Stegostoma tigrinum: one gene and its partner. The protein of the gene in region 1 purifies or fractionates together with the protein of each later gene. This does not show direct contact. Links are inferred from orthologs where the notes say so. Each region holds a gene or a part of one and is shown on either strand. Other genes may lie near its edges. The genes, in order: protein bicaudal D homolog 2-like and cytoplasmic dynein 1 intermediate chain 1.

What was found.
Region 2: the proteins of protein bicaudal D homolog 2-like (region 1) and cytoplasmic dynein 1 intermediate chain 1 purify together in Homo sapiens (affinity purification with western blotting; 4 studies listed by BioGRID and IntAct, with this or other methods). This does not show direct contact. The link is inferred for Stegostoma tigrinum from reciprocal best matches to the Homo sapiens genes BICD2 and DYNC1I1.

What each region holds. Positions count from the first base shown.
Region 1 is NC_081364.1:29,077,022-29,088,265, forward strand, and holds the start of protein bicaudal D homolog 2-like, read right to left. Parts: upstream 4,736-11,244; 5' UTR 4,439-4,735; coding exon 4,223-4,438; intron 1-4,222. UniProt on the Homo sapiens protein: Acts as an adapter protein linking the dynein motor complex to various cargos and converts dynein from a non-processive to a highly processive motor in the presence of dynactin.
Region 2 is NC_081355.1:82,794,997-82,805,929, forward strand, and holds the start of cytoplasmic dynein 1 intermediate chain 1, read left to right. Parts: upstream 1-6,879; 5' UTR 6,880-6,959; exon of another isoform or gene 6,960-7,197; intron 7,198-7,238; exon of another isoform or gene 7,239-7,484; intron 7,485-10,933. UniProt on the Homo sapiens protein: Acts as one of several non-catalytic accessory components of the cytoplasmic dynein 1 complex that are thought to be involved in linking dynein to cargos and to adapter proteins that regulate dynein function.

The DNA of each region.
Region 1 (11,244 bases):
TTGAACTCAGGATCACTGTTTAAAAATACAAGAAGACCGTTATGAAGGGAATTGTTTTCTCTTGAAGAATCATGAGCCTTTGTCACACTCATCCTAAAAAGACAGTTGAAACAAGAATCCTTGAATATTTTTCAGACGGGGGAGATAAATTTTTGTTAAACAAGGTGGTGAAAGGTTATCAGGATTAGAACGCAGATAAGATTACATTCAATTCATGATTTTATGGAATAGCCTACTCCTTGTCCATGTTCACAAACTTAGTTATACCATGTTTTGTTATATGCTTGGCAAACTCTACAGAGCTCAGAATTTACAAAGAAATTAACACTTATGTATTAGTATTTAAGGCTGAAAAATAAACGAGATTCTGAAAGGATTTTGGGCTGTGATCCAACATTTGAACAAAGTAGTCAACAAGCCAAACGTGAAGTGCCAAACAAATCACCAACAATAGAACAATTTGAGCGATTGGCATGATAGTTAAACCCATCAGCTTTGGTTACACCCTCCTTCTTTATAACCAAACTACTCCATTTCCGACAATAATCTCACATAGTACAAAAATGTAAAAAATGATTATATAACATTCACCCTTATAATCAGTTTTACGAGGGAGAAAACCAACAAGCGTTCTTTACATGCTTGCATAATAAACAAACTACAAAAGCTTGTTCTGCCGAACGCTGATCACATGGCATGGGAGGAGAAAGGTGATCTCTTACCATGTTGAGAAGAGAGATCATGTTACTACTTGTTACATTAGGTTCACAGGATAATAAAGGACACATTAGAAAATAAACGTCAAACATTAAATAAATTTCACCAGATTCCAATCCATTCAAAGTTACACTTAGACTTTTTTCTAATTTCAAACTACCTGGAGAGCTAAGCTGAGCCAGGAGGGGACACGAAGTCTTTGGCAGGTAGGATCAAGGAAAACCCTAAAGCTTTCTATAGGTATATCAGGAATAAAAGAATGACAAGAGTAAGATTAGGACCAGTCAAGGACAGTAGTGGGAAGTTGTGCGGAGTCTGAAGAGATAGGAGAAGCACTAAATGAATATTTTTCATCAGTATTCAGACGTGAAAAAGACAATGTCGTCGAGGAGAAGACTGAGATACAGGCTATTAGACTAGACAGGATGAGGTTCATAAGGAGGTGCTAGCAATTCTGGAAGGTGTAAAAATAGATATATCCCCTGGGCTGGATAGGATTCATCCTAGGATTCTCTGGGAGGCTAGGGAGGAGATTGTACAGCCTTTGGCTTTGATCTTTATGTTGTCATTGTCCACGGGAATAGCGCCAGAAGACTGGAGGATAGCAAATGTTGTCCCCTTGTTCAAGAAAGGGAATAGAGACAACCCTGGTTATTATAGACCAGTGAACCTTACTTTGGTTATGGGTAAAGTGTTGGAGACGATTATAAGAGATAGGATTTATAATCATCCAGAAAGGAATAATTCGATGAGGGACAGTCAACACTGTTTTGTGAAGGGTAGGTTGTGCTTCACAAACCTTATTGAGTTCTTGGAGAAGGTGACCAAACAAGTGGATGAGGGTAAAGCGGTTGATGCGGTGTATACGGATTTCAGTAAAGCGTTTGATAAGGCTCCCCACAGTAGGCTATTGAAGAAAATACGGAGGCATGAGATTGAGGGCGATTTAGCAGTTTGGATCAGAAATTGGCTAGCTGTAAGACGACAGTGGTGATTGATGGGAAATGTTCATCCTGGAGTTCAGTTACTAGTGGTGTAACGCAAGGATCTGTTTTGGGGCCACTACATTTTATAAATGACCTGGATGAGGGCATAGAAGAATGGGTTAGTAAATTTGCAGATGACATTAAAGTCGGTGGAGTTGTGGACAGTGCGGAAGGATGTTGCAGGTTACAGAGGGACATAGATAAGCTGCAGACATGGACTGAGAGGTGGCAAATGGAGTTTAATGTGGAAAAGTGAGAGGTGATTTACTGTGGAAGGAGTAACAAGAATACAGAGTACTGGGCTAACGGTAAGATTCTTGGCAGTGTGGATGAGCAGAGAGATCAGTAAGGGTGTGGAATTCCCTGCCTGCAACAGCAGTCAACTCTCCAACTTAAAAGGGCATTTAAATTGTCACTGGATAAACATATGGATGATAGTGGAATAGTGTAGGTTAGATGGGCTTCAGATTGGTTTCACAGGTCGGTGCAACATTGAGGGCCGAAGCGCCTGTACTGCACTGTACTGTTCAATGTGCTACCTGTGGGCCAGAATGTCTGGGTTCAAGTTCCACCTGCTCCGGAGGCGTCATGATAGATCTGAATGGGTTGATTAAAAATATCCAGTGACCCTTCCCATTTTCCACACAACCTGTAATAAATGTGAAGGAATTATCTAACGAAATGTTAAAAAGATAAAAAAAACTGTGTTATATTCCATAGTATCTTCTGTTGAGTAATTTATTATTTACAGCAGAAAAAGTTTAAATCACTCATTGAAAAAATATCTTTTCAAATCCTTGAGATTGCAAAGTTCATTTTTAACTTTGCTTAATAGAACAAATTTGCAGAGAAATGATCTCTTTAGATTTCCATAAATATCAGTTAGACCTGAGTTTGTGAAGGTGAATACAAGTCCTTTCATGTATCTTTCTTGTCTTAGAAGTCCAATATGCCATTTCTGATCCTTTCCTGCATATATCAAACTAAAACTACTTGCTTGATTTGTAACTGAAATGTTTAAACATTAAAATTTGAAGACAGCAGTTTTCCCACCCAATGTCATTCAGACCCATAAATATCAGCTCAATTAAAGAATATGAAAATAAACACTCAAAAGCCTCATATCCCACGTAATACTGAGAGAAATATTGAAACTTCCAGTACATACAATTAACATGACTTGCAAACGTTAACATATTTCCTTCAAACACAGTATGACATTACAATGCTTTGACGTTTCATTAAACCGATAATTTATTATTCAAATGCTCTAAACAGCTCACATTTGAAAATCTCAATCCGAATGTTATCCTAATGAAATAATACATTTTCTTCATTATGAAAATGCTCCACAATCCAGATTGAGATTTGATTTTTAATCAATTTAACATAAACTTGTAAAAAGATGTGCTCTATAGATGTAGTTATATCCACAAACTGACCTTTTCCAAAACAGAAATTGAAGTCTATTATCGATTTGAACCAAAAAAAAGTCAATAATAGTTAAAACCAAAAGAAATCTTCATTCTAGAATGTAATTGATTCAATTTTGTATCAGCATGCTGTATCAACCAAGCAGGCAAGCTAAGCATGACTTTCCCAATGAGTCACTAATCTAATCCAGAATTCTGAAAGGAGGCGTCAAGTCAAATCCAGTGATGTCTTGAGTGGGGAAAAAAACATACAACCCAAAGACAAGCAATGATTCACATCTCATAAGTATTTCATTTTACAAGGCAGTTACAGAATGTCTGCATATGAGGAGCACTTTACCTTCATGTACTGTGATAGTACAATATTGTATATCTAAACATTTTCTTTCCGGTCTGAACATCTTAGTCACTAGATGTATTAAACTAGTTTGGCTCAACAGTCTAGTCCTGCCCAACATATTTTATGCAATTTCTTCGTGCCAAAGATTCGTGGAAATATTTTCTCTTGAGAATTTTTTTAGGTCTTGTCAAAGCGTTATTAAAACAAAACTTATCTTACAATTTTGCATTGTCTGGCCATTTGACTGGCCATCAAACTCTAATTAGCTGATTTACCTAGTTTGTACATTTGACTTATGCCGAGGGGGAAGTGTTTTTTTTAAATCTAGTGGCCTCTGCTTGATGGATCTCTGACCATGCTTCCCGTGGATCTAACAGTGGTCACTAATCCGATCTATGACAATCTGCTGAAAGATGAGGACAAAGGGATTCCTCCACTGCGAGAATTCATACAGTTACAGTAGGGGATTCAACGGTACGAACAAGCCACTGTGAGCCATTTGGCACAGCACAACAACTATTATTGAGCAGTGAGGTGGCAGATGCTGGGAGCTGCTGCTTGAATCTGTCAACGGTCAGACGCTCTTGGGCAATGGGTGGGTCTTCGGTCAGTTTTTTTTTGAAGAATCCAACCAATACATTTTAAGCAAATGATTAACTTATTTTTAAAACAAAACCGTCTGTACAAAAATCGGGATCGAGATTTGGTGATATTATTATCCTTTTTCCTTGCTCAATAAGCCTCACCTCTCGGAGCTGCTCCAACTCCTGTCTGACTGTCTCATACTCGCCCTCCAGATCCTCATACTGTTGTTTGAGGCTCTGCTTCTCCTCCAACACCACCAGCCCGTACTCGGCCGCCTGGATCTTCTCCTGGGTTGTTTCGCTCAGCTCCCGGTTCAGCCGCTCGACCTCAGTCCGCAGGAAACTCTCGCTCTCCATCAGTGGCTCCTCCGCCTGCATGGCGCCGCCGCCCGCTCGCTCGCTTCTCGGCCGGCCAATTCGGTCCGGATCCCGGGTCAGCTGAGTTAAAACGGGGTCCTCGCTGCCTTGGCCACCATAGCTTCACCCGGCTGGCCCACCGGCCAGGCAGCGAAACTCAGCCTGAAGGAGGGGGTGGAAAATGAAGGCGACCAAGTGCGAAAGACAGAGAACGCTTCCCCCAACGTCTCCGTTCTGCCGGCTCCTGGGTCTGCTACTCCTGTCTCCGCCCCGTTAGGCTGCTCCCCTCCTCCACCATCCCGTCGCCATTGCCGCTGACATTCCTTCCCAGCTGCTGACGTCAGCTCCTTCCCCACAGACAAGGAGCCGCTTGAGGACACTGCGTGGTCCCCACACCCTGTGTTCTATACAGTTTATCATACACCCTGTAATCTATCCAATAAACTATACACCCTGTAATCTATACACTATATCATACACACTAAAATATATACAGTAAATCATACACCTAATTTATTCAATACATCATACCCCTTGTAATCTATACAGTCTCTTATTCACCGTGTAATCTAAAATACTGTGCAATATATACGAAATATACATCCTATTTCTGATGTGATAATGGGAACTGCAGATGCTGGAGAATCCGAGATAACAAAGTGTGGAGTTGGATGAACACAGCAGGCCAAGCAGCATCTCAGGAGCACAAAAGCTGACGTTTTGGGCCTAGACCCTTCATCAGAGAGGGGGATGGGGAGAGGGAACTGGAATAAATAGGGAGAGAGGGGGAGGTGGACCAAACATGGAGAGACAAGGGAGTTGCAGTGGGAGAGAGATTCCCTGAGGTTGGTCCAGAGGGAGGAGGGTAACTTCTTCAGCTTAGGCATCCCTGGAAGAGGCTTCGCAGTGAGGTTAAAATTGTATCAGTGATAATGGGAACTGCAGATGCATCCTATTTCTCATACCTGTAATATATTGTGTAGTGTTTATAATATATCATACATCATACATCCTGCAATCAATGCAGTAAATCATACACCTTGTCATATACACAATGTATCTCATACCCTGTAATATATAGTGTAGTATACATAACATACATCATACATCTTGTAATATATATTGTATATATAATATATCATATAACCTACAATATATACAATATAATACATATAATGTATCATACACCCTGTGATATATAAATATAAAATATACAATATATTATATACCCTGTAAAACACAATATACTATGTATAACATAAAACACACCATGTAATATACCCACCATATTATACACAATCTACATAACCCCGTAACATACACATTTATGAAGAAGGATCCCAAACTGAAACATAAGCTTTCCTGCTCTGCTGATGTTCCCTGGCCTGCTGTGTTCCTCTAGCTCCGCACTTTGTTATTGCTGGCACCCATACCATATTTAAAAGGATGCTGTGAATCTGGACAATCACTATAATTCCGAAGCTGCTTTATCCGGTGACAGTCAGTTTGAACACATTGGAAAAATGTAAGCTGCAGGCCTGAGGTATAACTAAGATTTTGTATTTTGCTGTATAAGAAGATGAATACCCCATTGACTGAGGACTGCTGCCATCAAAGCAAGCTGCCTGGCTGTGGAGCTGGGCTGAGGCAAGGCAAGGCAGGACACCGATACTTTGAGAACCCAGGTGAACAAGTTCTTAGAAAGCAAGCCGGCAGCCTTAAGATGCAGCCTTTGCCCAGCCTGTGAGCTGAGTGCCTGTCCCTGCAGCAGCCTTTCAATACCAGTTGCCGGTGTGCTATGTAATGCAAGTCTGTGCTTCCTGAGTGACCTGCAAGTGTATTGGGATGCCACAATAGTTTATAGACGTTTTCAGGTAGAGCCAGCTCTGAAGAAGGGTCACCAGACCTGAAACGCTAACTCTGATTTTCTCTTCACAGAAGCTGCCAGACATGTTGAGTTTTCCAGCAACTTGTGTTTTTGTACCAAACTACACTAATCCCATTATAACAAAGTGTGAAGCTGGATGAACACAGCAGGCCAAGCAGCATCTCAGGAGCACAAAAGCTGACGTTTCGGGCCAAGACCCTTCATCAGAGGCTCTGTTATTGCTATGTGTTCAAACTGACTGTCACCGGGTAAAGCAGCTTCAGAATTATAGTGATTGACCAGATTCACAGCATCCTTTTAAATATGGTATGGGTGCCAGCAATAACAGAGGCTCTGATGAAGGGTCTCGGCCTGAAACGTCAGCTTTTGTGCTCCTGAGATGCTGCTTGGCCTGCTGTGTTCATCCAGCTCCACACTTTGTTATCTTGGATTCTCCAGCATCTGCAGTTCCCATTATCACTGATACACTAATCCCATTGTTCTGTGCTTCGTCCATTGCCTTCTGTGCCTTGGCATTTTAAGTGCACATCCAGATGTTTCTTAAATGGTGCAATAGTATATGCCTCCTCCAACCTCTAAAGCAGCATGTTCCATATTTCTACCACCCTCTGGAAGAAATAAAGTTTCCTCAGATCCCCCTTAATGAATTACTCCTCACTTTAAACATGCTGTATGCCCTCTGATTGTAAACACATCTACGATGGGGAGAGAATTCTCACAATCTATCCTGTCTATGCCTCTCATAACCTTGTCACTTCGATCAGATCCCCCTCAGCCTCCTCTGTTTCTGCCCCAAGGAAAACAAGCACGCCCTATTCAGTGTCTCCTCATAACTGAGATTTTCCATCCCAGGCAACATCCTGGTAAATCTCCTCTGCACCCTCTCCAATGCAATCACACCCTTCCAATAATGTGGCACCAGAATGCAGGATTCCTTCTGTGGCCTAATAAATGTTTATAAAATTGTAACAAGACCTACTTGCTCCTCTCTTCTATGCTTCAGCTAATAAAGATCAGCATCCCCTATGCTTTCTTTATCATCCTGTCTATTTGTGCTAATGCCTTCAAGGGATCCGAAGCTGCAACACTGTATTCCTCACGCTGTTCTATTACTGTTATGCACTTTGTAATGTATCATCTGCCTGTACTGCAGGTAAACACAACTTTTCACTGTAGCTAGGTACATGTGACAATAATTAATCAAAATCAAACCAAATCAAATCTATTGACTTAGACGCCAATGTCCTTTTTTCCCTCAGCAGTCCCCATGGATCTACCATTCATTGTGTATATCCTACGCTTATTAGATCACCCAAAGTGCAGCATTTATCACATTAAATTCCAACGGCCATTGCTCTACCCAATTTACCAGCTGACCATATCAGATTGTAGCCTGACACCATCCTTCTCATTATTAACAAAATGTCCATTTTTTTGTGTCATCTACAAATTCACTCATTATACCTTCTATGTTCACATCCAAGTTGTTAATGTGCATAACAAACAGCTATTGTCCCAGCACCAAACCCAGTGATGTGCTGCTGATCACTAGCTTCCAATTATGAAACCAACCTACCACTGTCACTCTTTGCCTCCAATTTGTGAACCAATTTTGCATCCAGTTTGCCAACTTGTCTAGGATACCATGGACTCCTACGTTTTGGCTTGCCTTCCATGTGGGACCTTGTCAAAGGCCTTATAGAAGTCCACGTATACCACATCAACTTTGTTACCCTCATCAATATATTTAGTCACCTTTTCAAAAAATTCAACTAAATTAGTCAGACACGATATCCTTCCAACAAGTTCATGCCGATCATCCCTGATCTATCCCTGCCTTTCCAAATGCCAATAAATCCTGTCTCCTGAAATATTTTCTCATTATTTCCCTACCACCGATATCTGATTGGATGATCTGCAATTACCTGGCCTTCTTAAACAAAAGAACCACATTATCTATTCTCCAGTTATCTGGCACTTTACCTGTTGGTAGCAAAGTAATAAATATCTCATTCCAGGGCATCAGCAATCTTCTCGCTTACCCCAACGAAGCAGCCTGTCATACATTGCATCAGGCCTTGGGGATTTACATACCTTTATACCTGCTAAACTTCCACCTTCTTTTTCTTAACATGCTATAGAACCTCACCATTCCAACTGAAATATCCAGCTACATTGTCTTTAACCTTTGTGAAACAGATGGTAAATATTCAATTAAGACCTCACCCATGTCTTCTGGCTCCATGCACAGATTTTTCCTTTGGTCTCTACTAGAGTCCCCTCTTTCCCTGGTAATCCTCTTACTGTTAGTATAGAATATATTTATAAAATGCCTTGGGATTTTCTTTAATTCTATCTGCCAAAGATATTTCATGGCCCCTCTTTGGCTTCCTAATTTATTTTTAAAGCCACCCTCCCACACTGTCTGTGCTTCTGGAGGACCTTCCCTGTTTTAATGCTCTGTACCAAACATAAGTTTCCTTCTGAGATAATGGGAACTGCAGATGCTGGAGAGTCCGAGATAACAAGGTGTGGAGCTGGATGAACACAACAGGTCAAGCAACATCTTAGGAGCAGGAAGGCTGACCTTTCGGGCCTAGACCCCATTTCTGATGAAGGGTCTAGGCCCAAAACATTAGCCTTCCTGTTCCTAAGATGCTGCTTGGCCTGCTGCATTCACCCAGCTCCACACCCTGTTATATGGGTTTCCTTCTTTTTCTTTATCAACTCTCAATACCTCTTAACATTCCAGGGTTGCCCAGACTTGCTGCTTTTGCCCTTCCCTTTTAGAGGAACATGTAGGCCCTGATCTCTCACTATGCTACATTCAAAAGACACCCACTTTCCAAATGTAGACTTACCTGCAAGTAGATGCTCTCAGTCTACTAGATCCTGTCTAATAATATTGATATTAACCTTCTCCTAGTTTGACACTTAATTCTGCAGTATCCTTATCTCTTTCCACATGACTTTGAAACTTACAGAGTTTCTGGGGTTGCTATCCCCAGAATGCTTGCCCACTGATGCTTCAACCACTTGACTGGTTTCATTGCCTAGGATTAGGTCCAGTACTGCTCCATTTCAATGAGGAATGTCTAAGTACTGGCACAAAAACCTTTCCTGGATGCACTTTAAAAATTCCATGCCATCTAATCTGTTCACACTAAGGCAATCCCAGTTAATGTTAGTAAAATTGAAATCCCCTCCTACTATAACCCTATTCGTCTCATACCTCTCGGTGATTTGCCTATATAGCTGCTCCTCTATCTCCCTCTGACCGTTGGGAGGACTGTTGTCTAATTCCAGCAAAGTGAATGCCGCTTTTTTTATATCTAAGCTCTCCCAGATGGCCGCATTTGAAGAGCCTTCTAGGACATCCTCCTTCATTCCTGCAGTGATGGTTTCCTTTGCCAATAATGCAATATCCCCAACACACTTACATCCCATTCTATCATGCTTGAAATCTCTATACCCTGGAACATTGAGCTGTCAGTCCTGCCCTTTCTTCAATCATGTCTCAGCAATTGCAACAACATCATACTCCTGAGCACTGATCAATACTCTTAACTTCTTCTGCCATACCAATCAGGCTCCTTGCATTCAAATAGATATGATTTAGCTTTCTGGTTCTCCCATGTGCCTTCTCATGCCCATGTCTTCTCAGTCTACTGGACTGCATTGCTTCTATTTCTGATTAGACTTTGCTCACAATTTTAAATCTACTCTGTGCCTTGCAAAATTAGATTAAAAGCTTTCCAACAGCAAAAGCAAACCTCCCAACAAAGATATTGGACCTATTCTGTTTCAGATGTAACCCAGATGTCACATGCCAATGTCCATGGACCAGATTCCACATGCTTGATGCTCATGGATTACACCCAGAAACACTGAGCAACTTGGAGGCCAAGATAGGCCTCGCTACACAGCACAGTGACTCAGTGGTTAGCACTACCGCCTCACAGCACCAGGAACCTGGGTTTAATTCCAGTCTTGAGTAACTGTGTGTCGCGTTTGCACTTTCTCCCTGGGTCAGTGTAGGTTTCCTCCCACAGTCCAAAAATGTGCAGATAGTGTGGATTGACCATACCAAATTATAAAAAAAAGGGGCAGAATGGTGGCTCAGTACCTAGCTCTGCTGCCTCACAGCACCAGGGACCCAGGTTTGATTCCATCCTCAGGTGACAGTGTGGAGTTTGCTCATTCTCTCCGTGTCTGCACGGGTTTCCTCCCACAGTCCAAAGATGTGCAGGCTAGGTGGATTGGCCATGCTAAATTGCCCATCATGTTCAGGGATACGTAGAGTAAAAAAACAAAGTTGATGGAAGAGCTCAGCAGGTCTGGTAGCATCTGTGGAGGAGAAAACAGAGTAAACATTTCAGGTCCAGTGACCCTTCCTGAGAACAGTTCTGAGGAAAAGTCACTGGACCCGAAACATTAACTCTGTTTTCTCCTCCACAGATGCTGCCAGGCCTGCTGAGCTTTTCCAGCAAATTTGTTTTTGTTCCTGGTTTACAGCATCCGCAGTTCTTTTGGTTTTTATGTGGAGAGTAGTTGGATGAAAGGGGGATGGGTCTAGTGGGATAATCTGAGGGTCGGTGTGGACTTGTTGGGCTGAAGGGCCTGGTTCCACACTGTAGGGATTCTGTTCTATTCTTCTATTCTAGGTTTCTTCTTCGATCCTGCCACAAATCTCACCATCCTCACATTGTTCAGGCCACTGTAAGATTTCACCTAATGTTTCAAGTCCAAATGAATCTTCTTCAGAATGTCGAAGAATCTACACTTTCTTTGCACCTATGCAATCTGTGTAAATATTCAAGACTCAGCCATACAATCAGAATAATTTTAAGAAAGAATTCTTAACCTGTATAGAGAAAATGGTTTCTGCATTTGTTTACAAAGGACATTGAAAAGTAATTTTTACAACAGCCATCTGCAT
Region 2 (10,933 bases), on another chromosome or scaffold:
CACCTCAGCATTAATATTAGAACTTTAAAGTTCATTACTTTCATGTGGTTTTTTTGAAAGGCCAAAGTGATCAAATCTATGACTTTCTTTGCACATCCATTCAGTATTCACCTTTATCAATTCAGGTATTTTCTAATCAACATGTACAGGCATGTTAATACACACCTGTTGTGCAAGCGGGATTTAAACCTGGACCTTCTCCCTCAGAGGTATTGACACTACCACTGCACACCCATAACCCTCTTTGATCAATTTTGATAATTTCTAATCAACAGGTTCACATATGTTATTGAACAACTCAGGTCACCTGACTCAGAGGTAGGGTTACTACCACTGCAGCACAAGACCCATTCTTTTACCAGTTTAGTTTTAGCTTTTAAATATTATCCTTTGGTTACAAATCCACATTAACATCCCTGACTAGCCTATACTATTAATTGCTTAACACTGGCCACCATGGTCGCAATCAGTTTTCTGACCGAAACAGTAAAAACTACATAATCCCTCTAATATGAGATGATGATCTAAACAGAAGCTTTATCAGAAGAACATTGCAAAGCAAAATTTGAAATTGAGTGACTAAAGTTTTTACAAAATGGTAGGTTTAAGGCGAGTCTTAAATAAGGAGAGCAATATAAGAAGGCAGAGATGCCTAAGAATGAACATAGAGTTCAAGGCATAGCAAACTGAAGATATGGCTGTCAGTGGCAATAGATGATGCAAAACAGGCCAAAGCTAGAGGAATGGAGGCCTCAGAAGATTACAAAGTACTATTGTGTGTGTAGAGGGTCAAGATTAACTGTAGACCTGAGTCTGACTTTGGTGCTAGGTAAGTGGTTGGACGTGATTCTGAAATATAGGATTTATATGCATTTGGAGAGACAAGGAATGATTAGGGATAGTCAGCATGGCTTTGTGCAAAGGAAATCTTGTCGCATAAACTTGATTGCGTTTTTTTGAAGAAGTAACCAAGGAAATTGATGATGGCTGAACAACAGACATTATTTACTTGGACTCTGGTAAAGCTTTTGATAAGGTTCTGCATGGTAGGCTAATTAGTAAAGTTAGATCACATAGGATTCAGGCTATCAATTTAATACAAAATTGACTTAACAGCAGAAGACAGTTGTGATGGAAAGAGATAACAGGAACTGCAGATGCTGGAGAATCTGAGATAACAAAGTGTGGTACTGGATGAACACAGCAGGCCAAGCAGCATCTTAGGAGCACAAAAGCTGATGTTTCGGGCCTAGGCCCTTCATCAGAAAATAAATAGGGAGGGAGGGGGAGGTGGATCAAAGATGGATAGAGGAGCAGATAGCTGGAGAGGAGACAGACAAGTTAAAGGGACGTGGATAGAGCCTGCAGAGGTGAGTGTAGGTGGGGAGGGGATAGGTCAGTCTGGGGTGGACGGACAGGTCAAGGGGGCAGGATGAGGTTAGTAGGGAGGAAATGGAGGTGCGGCTTGAGGTGGGAGGAGGGGACAGGTGACAGGAAGAACAGGTTAGGGAGGCAGGCACGAGCTGGGCTCGTTTTGGAATGCAGTGAGGGGAGATTTTGAAGCTTGTGAAATCCACATTGATACCATTGGGCTGCAGGGTTCCCAAGTGGAATATGAGTTGCTGTTCCTGCAACCTTCGGGTGGCATCGTTATGGCACTGCAGGAGGCCCAGGATGGACATGCCGTCTAAGGAATGCGAGGGAGAATTAAAATTGTTCACGACTGGGAGGCGCAGTTGTTTACTGCAAACCGAGCGTAGGTGTTCTGCAAAGCAGTCCCCAAGCCTCCGCTTGGTTTCCGCGATGTAGAGGAAGCCACAGCGGATGCAGTATACCACATTGGCAGATGTGCAGGTGGACATCTGCTGGATGTGGAAAGCCTTCTTGGAGACTGGGATGTGGGTGAGGTAGGAGGTGTGGGGGCAAGTGTAGCACTTCCCGCGGTTGCAGGGGAAAGTGCCGGATATGGAGGGGTTGGAGGGGATTGTGTGGCGGACAAAAGTGTGGTCTCTCCGGAAAGCAGATCAGGTGGAGACGGAAAAATGTCTTTAGTGGTGGGGTCGGATTGTAGACGGCGCAAGTGTCAGAGGATGACGTGTTGTATCTGGAGGTTGGTGGGGTGGTATGTGAGGACAAGGGGGATTCTCTTTTGGCAGTTATTGCAGGTTCAGGGTGTGAAGAATGAGTTGCAGGAAATGCGGGAAACACGGTCAAGGACGTTCTCGACCACTGTGTGGGGGGGGGGGGGGGTGTTGGGTGGGTGGGTAGCGTTGCAGTCCTTGAAGAAGGAGGACATCTGAGATGTACAGGAGTGGAATGCCTCATCCTGGGAGCAGATGATGAAAAGTTGTTTTCCAGACTGGAGTCCTGTGACCAGGGGTGTTCCACAGGGATCGGTATTGGGTCCACTTTTGTTTGTCATTTGTGTAAATGATTTAGATGAGAATATAGAAGGCATGGTTAGTAAGTTTGTGGATGATACCAAAATTGATGGTATAGTGGACAGTGAAGAAGGTTATCGAAGATTACAAAGGACATCTTGATCAACTGGGTCAATGGGCTGAAGAGTGGCAGAAAGAGTTTAATTTGGATAAATGGAAGATATTACAGTTTGGTAAAACAAACAAAGCACAGGGCTTATAGAATTAATGGCATGGCCTTTGGTGGTGTTGTAGAACAGAGAAACGTAGGGGTTCAGGTACATGAATCTTTGAAATTTGCATCACATATGGATAGGGTGGTTAGGACGGTGTTTCGCATGCTTGCCTTCATTGCTCAGATCTTTGAGTATAGGAATTGGGAACTATGTTGAGGTTATGCAGGAGGTTGGAGAGGCATCTTTTGGATTACTGTGTCCTGTTCTGGTCACCTTGTTATAGGAAGGATATTATTAAGCTCGGGACGATGGATAGACTGGGACATTTTTCACAGCGTAGGAGGTTGTGGGGTGATCTTATTGAGATTTACATAAAAAGGGTGAATGGCAGGTGGTTTTTTTTCCCCCCTGGGGTTAGGGATTTCAAAACTAGGGGGCATAATTTTTAAGGTGACAGGAGCAAGATTTAAAAAAGACATGAGCAAGCAATTGTTTTTACACAGAGTGCTTCATGTGTGGAATGAACCTCCAGAGGACATGCTGGATGCGGGTACAGCTACAAGGTTTAAAAGACATTTAGATAAGTATAACAATAAGAAATACTTGGAAGGATATTGGTCAAGTGCAGGCATGTCGGACTTATTTAGTTTGGGATTGTGGTCGGCATGGGCTGGTTGGACTGCAGGGTCTGATTCTCTGCTGTATGACTGTATGAGCTCACAGAGGAGTGAGAAACATAGGACAGAATCAAGAAAAGGATGATTCAGATCTATCTCTAACTCCTACCTTCCCTTACTCGACATCTCTGTTTCCATTTCTGAGGATAGACTGGCCACTAATATCCACTATAAACCCACTGACTCCCACAGCTACCTGGACTATATATCCTTGCACCGTGCTTCCTGTAAAAAGTCTCCATTCTCGCACTTCCTCCCGTCTCCGTCACATATGTTTCAATGAGTCTACCTTTGACAAGGCAGCCTCCAAAATGTCCACCTTCCTCTTTAACTGAAGTTTCCCCAGCACCGTTGTTGACAGGGCCCTCAACCAGATCTGACTCATCTCCTGCACGTCTGCCCTCACCCCCTCTCTTCTCTCCCACACCAGCAATAAACTAATTAATAAAATTAGGTCACACAGGATTCAGGCTATTAATTGGATACAAAATTGACTTAACAGCAGAATTTGTCCTTATCTACCAGCATCCACATCCAGAAGATCACCAGCTGCCATTTCCACAACCTCCAGCAAGATGCCACCACTGGACATATATTCCTTTCTGCTCCCTTATCCACCTTCCACAGGGATCGTTTCCTCCGGGACACCCTGGTCCATTCTTCCTAAACTCCCAACCTGAAGGATCAACTTTCCTGCTCCTCTGATGCTGCCTGGCATGCTGTGCTCCTCCAGCTCCACACTGTGTTATCTCTGATAGCATTTGATATGATTAGCAGAATAATAATGGACTGCTAAGTCATTTGTCTAACAGGTACAATAAATCTGCACCACTTGGCGTTTAATTTAGCAAAGATGGTGATCAAGTGGGAATTCATTCCTTGTGAAAGCCAGGACATTATCCTGCACAATAAGGTGCATTGTAAGGTCTTCTTTGTGACTGAAGAACATTCTGGAGCAAGACGGAGAAGCAGGAAGACAGTGAATGCGGTGAAGCACATAATCTTTTTTATATAGAAGAATTAATTATTTAAACAATAAGGGAATTAGACTACCTTTGACACTTTAGTCCCACAAGAGAAATGTTTGCATAGAGTATGGATAACAGATGCATTTTTACAGCCACGGAATGCTTGCTCTGCCACCTGCTGGATTTTCATGTTATGATGTAAATGAGAAAAAAGTGAAGAATAATAGATAACAAAGTGTGGAGCTGGATGAACACAGCAGGCCAAGCAGCATCTAAGGAGCACAAAACCTGACATTTCAGGCCTGGATCCTTCATCAGAAAAAGGGGGATGGGGAGATGATTCTGAAATAAATAGGGAGAGAGGGGGAGGCAGACTGAAGATGGATAGAGGAGAAGATAGGTGGGGAGGTAGGGAAGGGATAGGTCAGTCCGGGGAGGACGGACAGGTCAAGGGGGCGGGATGAGGTTAGTAGGGAGGAAATGGAGGTGCGGCTTGAGGTGGGAGGAGGGGATAGGTGACAGGAAGAACAGGTTAGGCAGGCTGGGATGAGCTGGGCTGGTTTTGGGATGCAGTGGGGGGGGGGGGTGGGATTTTGAAGCTTGTGAAATCCACATTGATACCATTGGGCCGAGCAGCATCTCAGGAGCACAAAAGCTGACGTTTCGGGCCTAGACCCTTCATCAGAGAGGGGGATGGGGGGAGGGAACTGGAATAAATAGGGAGAGAGGGGGAGGCGGACCGAAGATGGAGAGTAAAGAAGATAGGTGGAGAGAGTGTAGGTGGGGAGGTAGAGAGGGGATAGGTCAGTCCAGGGAAGACGGACAGGTCAAGGAGGTGGGATGAGGTTAGTAGGTAGCGGGGGGTGCGGCTTGGGGTGGGAGGAAGGGATGGGAGAGAGGAAGAACCGGTTAGGGAGGCAGAGACAGGTTGGACTGGTTTTGGGATGTAGTGGGGGGGGGGGGGGGGGGAAGAGCTGGGCTGGTTGTGTGGTGCAGTGGGGGGAGGGGATGAACTGGGCTGGTTTAGGGATGCAGTAGGGGAAGGGGAGATTTTGAAACTGGTGAAGTCCACATTGATACCATATGGCTGCAGGGTTCCCAGGCGGAATATGAGTTGCTGTTCCTGCAACCTTCGGGTGCCATCCGATGCCACCCGAAGGTTGCAGGAACAGCAACTCATATTCCGCCTGGGAACCCTGCAGCCATATGGTATCAATGTGGACTTCACCAGTTTCAAAATCTCCCCTTCCCCTAATGCATCCCTAAACCAGCCCAGTTCATCCCCTCCCCCCACTGCACCACACAACCAGCCCAGCTCTTCCCCCCCCACCCACTACATCCCAAAACCAGTCCAACCTGTCTCTGCCTCCCTAACCGGTTCTTCCTCTCACCCATCCCTTCCTCCCACCCCAAGCCGCACCCCCCGCTACCTACTAACCTCATCCCACCTCCTTGACCTGTCCGTCTTCCCTGGACTGACCTATCCCCTCCCTACCTCCCCACCTACACTCTCTCCACCTATCTTCTTTACTCTCCATCTTCGGTCCGCCTTCCCCTCTCTCCCTATTTATTCCAGTTCCCTCCCCCCATCCCCCTCTCTGATGAAGGGTCTCGGCCCGAAACGTCAGCTTTTGTGCTCCTGAGATGCTGCTCGGCCTGCTATGTTCATCCAGCCTCGCATTTTATTATCTTGGAATCTCCAGCATCTGCAGTTCCCATTATCTTTGATACCATTGGGCTGCAGGATTCCCAAGCAGAACATGAGTTGCTGTTTTTGCAACCTACGGGTGGCATCATTATGGCACTGCAGGAGGCCCAGGATGGACATGACGTCTAAGGAATGGGAGGGGGAGTTGAAGTGGTTCGCGACTGGGAGGTGCAGTTGTTTACTGAGAACTTAGTGTAGATGTTCTGCAAAGCAGTCCCCAAGCCTCTGCTTTTGGTTTCCCCAATGTAGAGGATGCCACACCGGGTACAATGGATACTATATACCACATTGGCGGATGCACAGGTGAACATCTGCTTGATGTGGAAAGTCATCTTGCGGCCTGGGATAGGGGTGAGGGAGGAGGTGTGGGGGCAGGTGTAGCACTTCCTGCTGTTGCAGGGGAAAGTGCCGGGTGCGATGGGGTTGGAGGGGAGTGTGGAGCGGACAAGGGAGCTGCGGAGAAAGTGGTCTCTCCGGAAGGCGGACAAAGGTGGGGTGGGAAAAATGTCCTTGGTGGTGGGGTCAGATTGTAGGAATGATTTGATTTGCCTTTTGTGTACAGAATATAGCTTGTCAGTTCTCGTTGAGGAGATGTCTGTGTTGTTAGCCTACATTATGAATCCTGCGGGCTGGCAGTGGGGTGGGTGAAGGGGGGGATATGAAAATCAGTGCAGTTCTTTCTCTCTCACACACACACACACACACACACACACACACCAGCCCACCATGTGGCCCAGTTAAACATCCGGTTCTCACCTCCCACTCCTTCAGGAACCTGTTCGCCTCCTCCGCTCCGATCCCTTTGCTCCTCCTGAACTCCTCGCGGACGTAACGGTCACCGATGGCGCGCAGATCGTCAGGCAGCAGCCGGTGCACGAGCAAAAGCCGTTTGTATAGAGTGCGCACCCGCCCAGCCCCGGCCGACGCCATCCCGTCTCCCCGGTAACTACTGGCACCGTGAGTGACCTTACCCTCACCGGACACCCCCGCTGTCGGATATTCCTACTCAGGTACGACACATATATTCCTCCGAATGTTGGGTTCCGTCCAACGTCCAGGGTGGGGACGGGAAATCAGAACAGACCTTCCCCACTCCAAACTTTTTCTTCCATCGAGCTAATGTAAATAGGAAACAAATACAGCGATAAATGTCGCCTTTTGTAGAGTGTCTCTCACTTGACTTTTTTTGTGACATTGGTTCCGAAAGGGAACTTTGCTGCTGGTCGGATCATTGATGTTGCTGCACGAGTTTTTCTGTTGGCCCTTGATTGGACGTTGCCGTGGAAACGTCACCTCCAGTCCTGAGGATGATCGGGTTCAGGTTGACAAGGGAGCGTTTCATGTGCAGCCGATTTACTAACATAAATTAGAAATAAAACACAGTGGATGCGAAAAATATGAAACAGAAAATGTACGAATAGGGGCTATTTAGCCCATTGTGTTTCTACATACTTAAAGACTCCCCCCCCACCCTAATCTCTAGCCATGTTGGACTATAACCTAGTGTCGTGTGATTTCTGACCTTCTCCAGCCGTGTAAGTCTTCAGCTTCTCAACGTATTTTTTTTAAACGTACCTGTGGTTTCTGTCACTGTTACCCGCCCAAACAGTGTAGTCCCGATCCCACCACCCTCAAGGGAAGGGAAATCCTCAACTAGTTATTTGTAGCCGTGTTGTTGGGATCAGGTCCTTGCAATCCAGTGTCTGGCCTCCCAGCACCTCACGTAAAACTCATCTCAGCCATTTTCATTCCAAAAGTAGATTCCATAGGATATCCGAGATACTAGAAACTGCAGATGCTGGAGAATCTGAGATAACAAGGTCTAGAGCTGGATGAACACAGCAAGCCAAGCAGCATCAGAAGAGAGGAAAGCTGACGTTTCGGGTCTTCATTTTCTGAAGAAGAGTCTAGACCCGAAACGTCAGATTTCCTGCTCTTCTGATGCTGCTTGCCCTGCTGCGTTCATCTAGCTCTACACCTTGTTATCCATAGGATACCCAGTCTTTTCTCAAAGCTAATCTTTTCCTACCTGAAACATCTTCATAAAGCTCCCGTGTACCTACTTCAGTGTAATCGTATCCTTCTTGTAATGTGTTGACAAAATTGCAAACAGTGTGTTATGTATGGCCTAACTTTATACAGTTCTACCATAAACTAATCATTTTTTATGCCTATGCCAATAGAGAAAATAATCCCATGTGCCTTTTTAACTAACTTATTTACATTTTACTTTCAGGTCTCTGCCCAGGCACTGCAATGTCCCTTTGCTTGTCTACCCAAACAGTTTTCTTTGCTTTGTTTACAATCTTGAAATACATTACATCACAGTTCTACTGAATGAGCGCTACCAACAGATCAGCTGATGGCTATCTTCCTGCAATCTGTAGCTTTCTTTCTCCCTATTTCCAATATGACTGATTATTATAAAGTTTATCTGTGGCATATGTGGCATTGGCAAGGCCAACATATATTGCCCATCCCTAGTTGCCTTTGAGCAATATGTGGTCAGCTGCTTTCTTGAACAGCTGTGGTCCACTTGGTGTAGGGATGCCCACAGATGAGGGAGATTCGATTATGTATTCATTCATTACATTTCAGTGATGATTCCATCTGCATCAGCTGGTACTTGTCTGTCACCATCCTCATTTTGGACTGGGATTGTGCTAAGGTGGTATCAGGTAACATGCTGTGGTTTGTGGTTGAGGTTATCCATGTTGAGGACTGAGTCTCAACTGAAGTACTTAATGAGCACCACTCTAAGTGGTATTGGCCTTTGGTGCTTGGGGCATAGATGGGTCTTGACTACTAAGTCAAGAATCCAAGCACATCATGGCTGTCAGCAGGTTTCCTGATTTCCTATGTTCTTTCCATACCATCAGTTCTTTAAGACATGTGTCTTTTGTTGGAATTAGGCTTTCCTTTGTCTGTAAATGAACACCTGTCTCCTTGCTCCACTGATCTTCTTGAGATGCTCAACTCAAGCCCTCAATTACAAGTTACACATGTTGTCTACTTATGTATAGTTTAAAAACAAAGCGGCTCGTTCACTCATTTAGTGAGGATCCAGTTTCAGCAGGTTCTTAAATTACACCCTTTCAATGCAATCTTTGAAAATAAACCTGCTCAAACCTTGCAACTGCAGAATTTTAAATTTCAGATTTTCTTTAATGTCAACTGCAAATCTCAATCCAAATTAGGTTTGCACAAGTGAAACTTTCTTACCCAGCAAATGCACACACTCAATTCAGCTTCCTTTCTAACTCACTGAAAGGATGAACACCTCTTGTGATTTTAATAATCATATATGGAAGAGGTGGTGACAATCTGATCTTCAACTCTTACACCACAGTTGGCAGTTTAAGAACAGCCTTCCAAGAAAGTACCAGTCTCCTCAAACATTGCTCCTTTGATAGACTTTGGGATGACATTCTTCTGTTTGCTTTCTTTGCTCAAGCCATTGTGTATAGAAGTTAGAATGTCATGTTGAAGTTGTACAGGACATTGGTGAGAGCATTTTTGGAATACTGTGTGCAGTTGTGGTCATCCTGCTCAAGGAAGGATATCATTAAATTGGAGAAGGTTCAGAAAAGATTTACAAGAATGTTACCAGGACTGGAGGGTTTGAGTTATAAGGAGAGGCTGATAGGCTGGGACTTTGTTCACTTGAGCATCGGGGGTTAGGGTGTGACCTTATAGAGGTTCATAAAATCCTGAGGGGCATGGATAAGGTGAATAGCAAAAGTCATTTCCTAGGGCAGGGGAGTTCAAAACTAGAGGGCATATTTTTAAGGTGAGAGGAGAAAGATTTAAAAGGGACCTGAGGGGCAACTTTTTCACACAGAGGATGGTTTTTTATGTGGAATGAACTGCCAGAAGAAATGGTAGATGCAGATACAGTTACAAAATTTGAAAGACATTTGGACAGGTACATGGATAGGAAAGGTTCAGAGAGATATGGGCCAAACACAGGCAAGTGGGACCAGTTTAGTTAGGGAAATTTGTTTGGCATGAGTGTGCTGTGTGGCATCATGACTCTGTAGACCTTGTATGCAGTATTCTCCTGAGAATTTTAAGTCAGTATTTTGTTACAGACGTGTTACAAGTTTTAAAACAAATTTCTCCCCTCATTCTCATCTATTCATAAGCAGATTATAATATCATTCTTTCCCTTTTTTAAACAGTGATGATGTTTTTCTCCATTTCTTATGGTGATGGAATCGTACATCGTAAGGGCCACAAAATACTGTTGTAAAGTTAAACTAGATGTAAGGTTTATTTCACATATTCTTAGACATGGGCCTGGGGGTACTTTGGAACACAGGGGAGATCAAATTGAGGAGATAAACAGATTATTCGATTTGCAACGATAACAATAACTAAACTAAAAACAATAGAGTGATATGAGGTTATCAATGTCCTTGCTTTTAAGATGCAGTCCAAAAGTCCAGAGGCAAAATTCTTTTGTGGAGGTCTTTTAGTGACAAGTCAGCACTTCATGAGCCGTAGACAGTTTATTGCCTTAATAAAATTCGTTCAAAGATAGTCTGAAGGAGATTGCTGAAATCCAACTTCTGAAATGCTGATTTAATGAAAGCTGGTTAATTACTTGCAGGGAATGGAACAGAATAGCAGTTTATTATCACGTATTTTTACAAACAAAAACAGTAATAAGTCGCTATGCCATGCTGCCTGTATTAATGACTTAAGTCATAGATAAGGAGGAAATGAAGTAAAAAAATTAAAGCAAAATACATCTCAGATCAATTTCAGTTTGGGGAAAGTCAATTAAAATGACTAACATTGGAAAAGTTGGAAGCTGCTGCTGAAGGAGACCTTCATGCCAGAATGAGACCTCCACACTGGAACAATATCACCAAACCAAGACCACCCCTCCAGGACAAGGCAACTGTGGCTCATTGGTTCACACTGCAGCCTCACAGCGCCAGGGACCTGGATTCAATTCCACCCTTGGGCGACTGTCTGT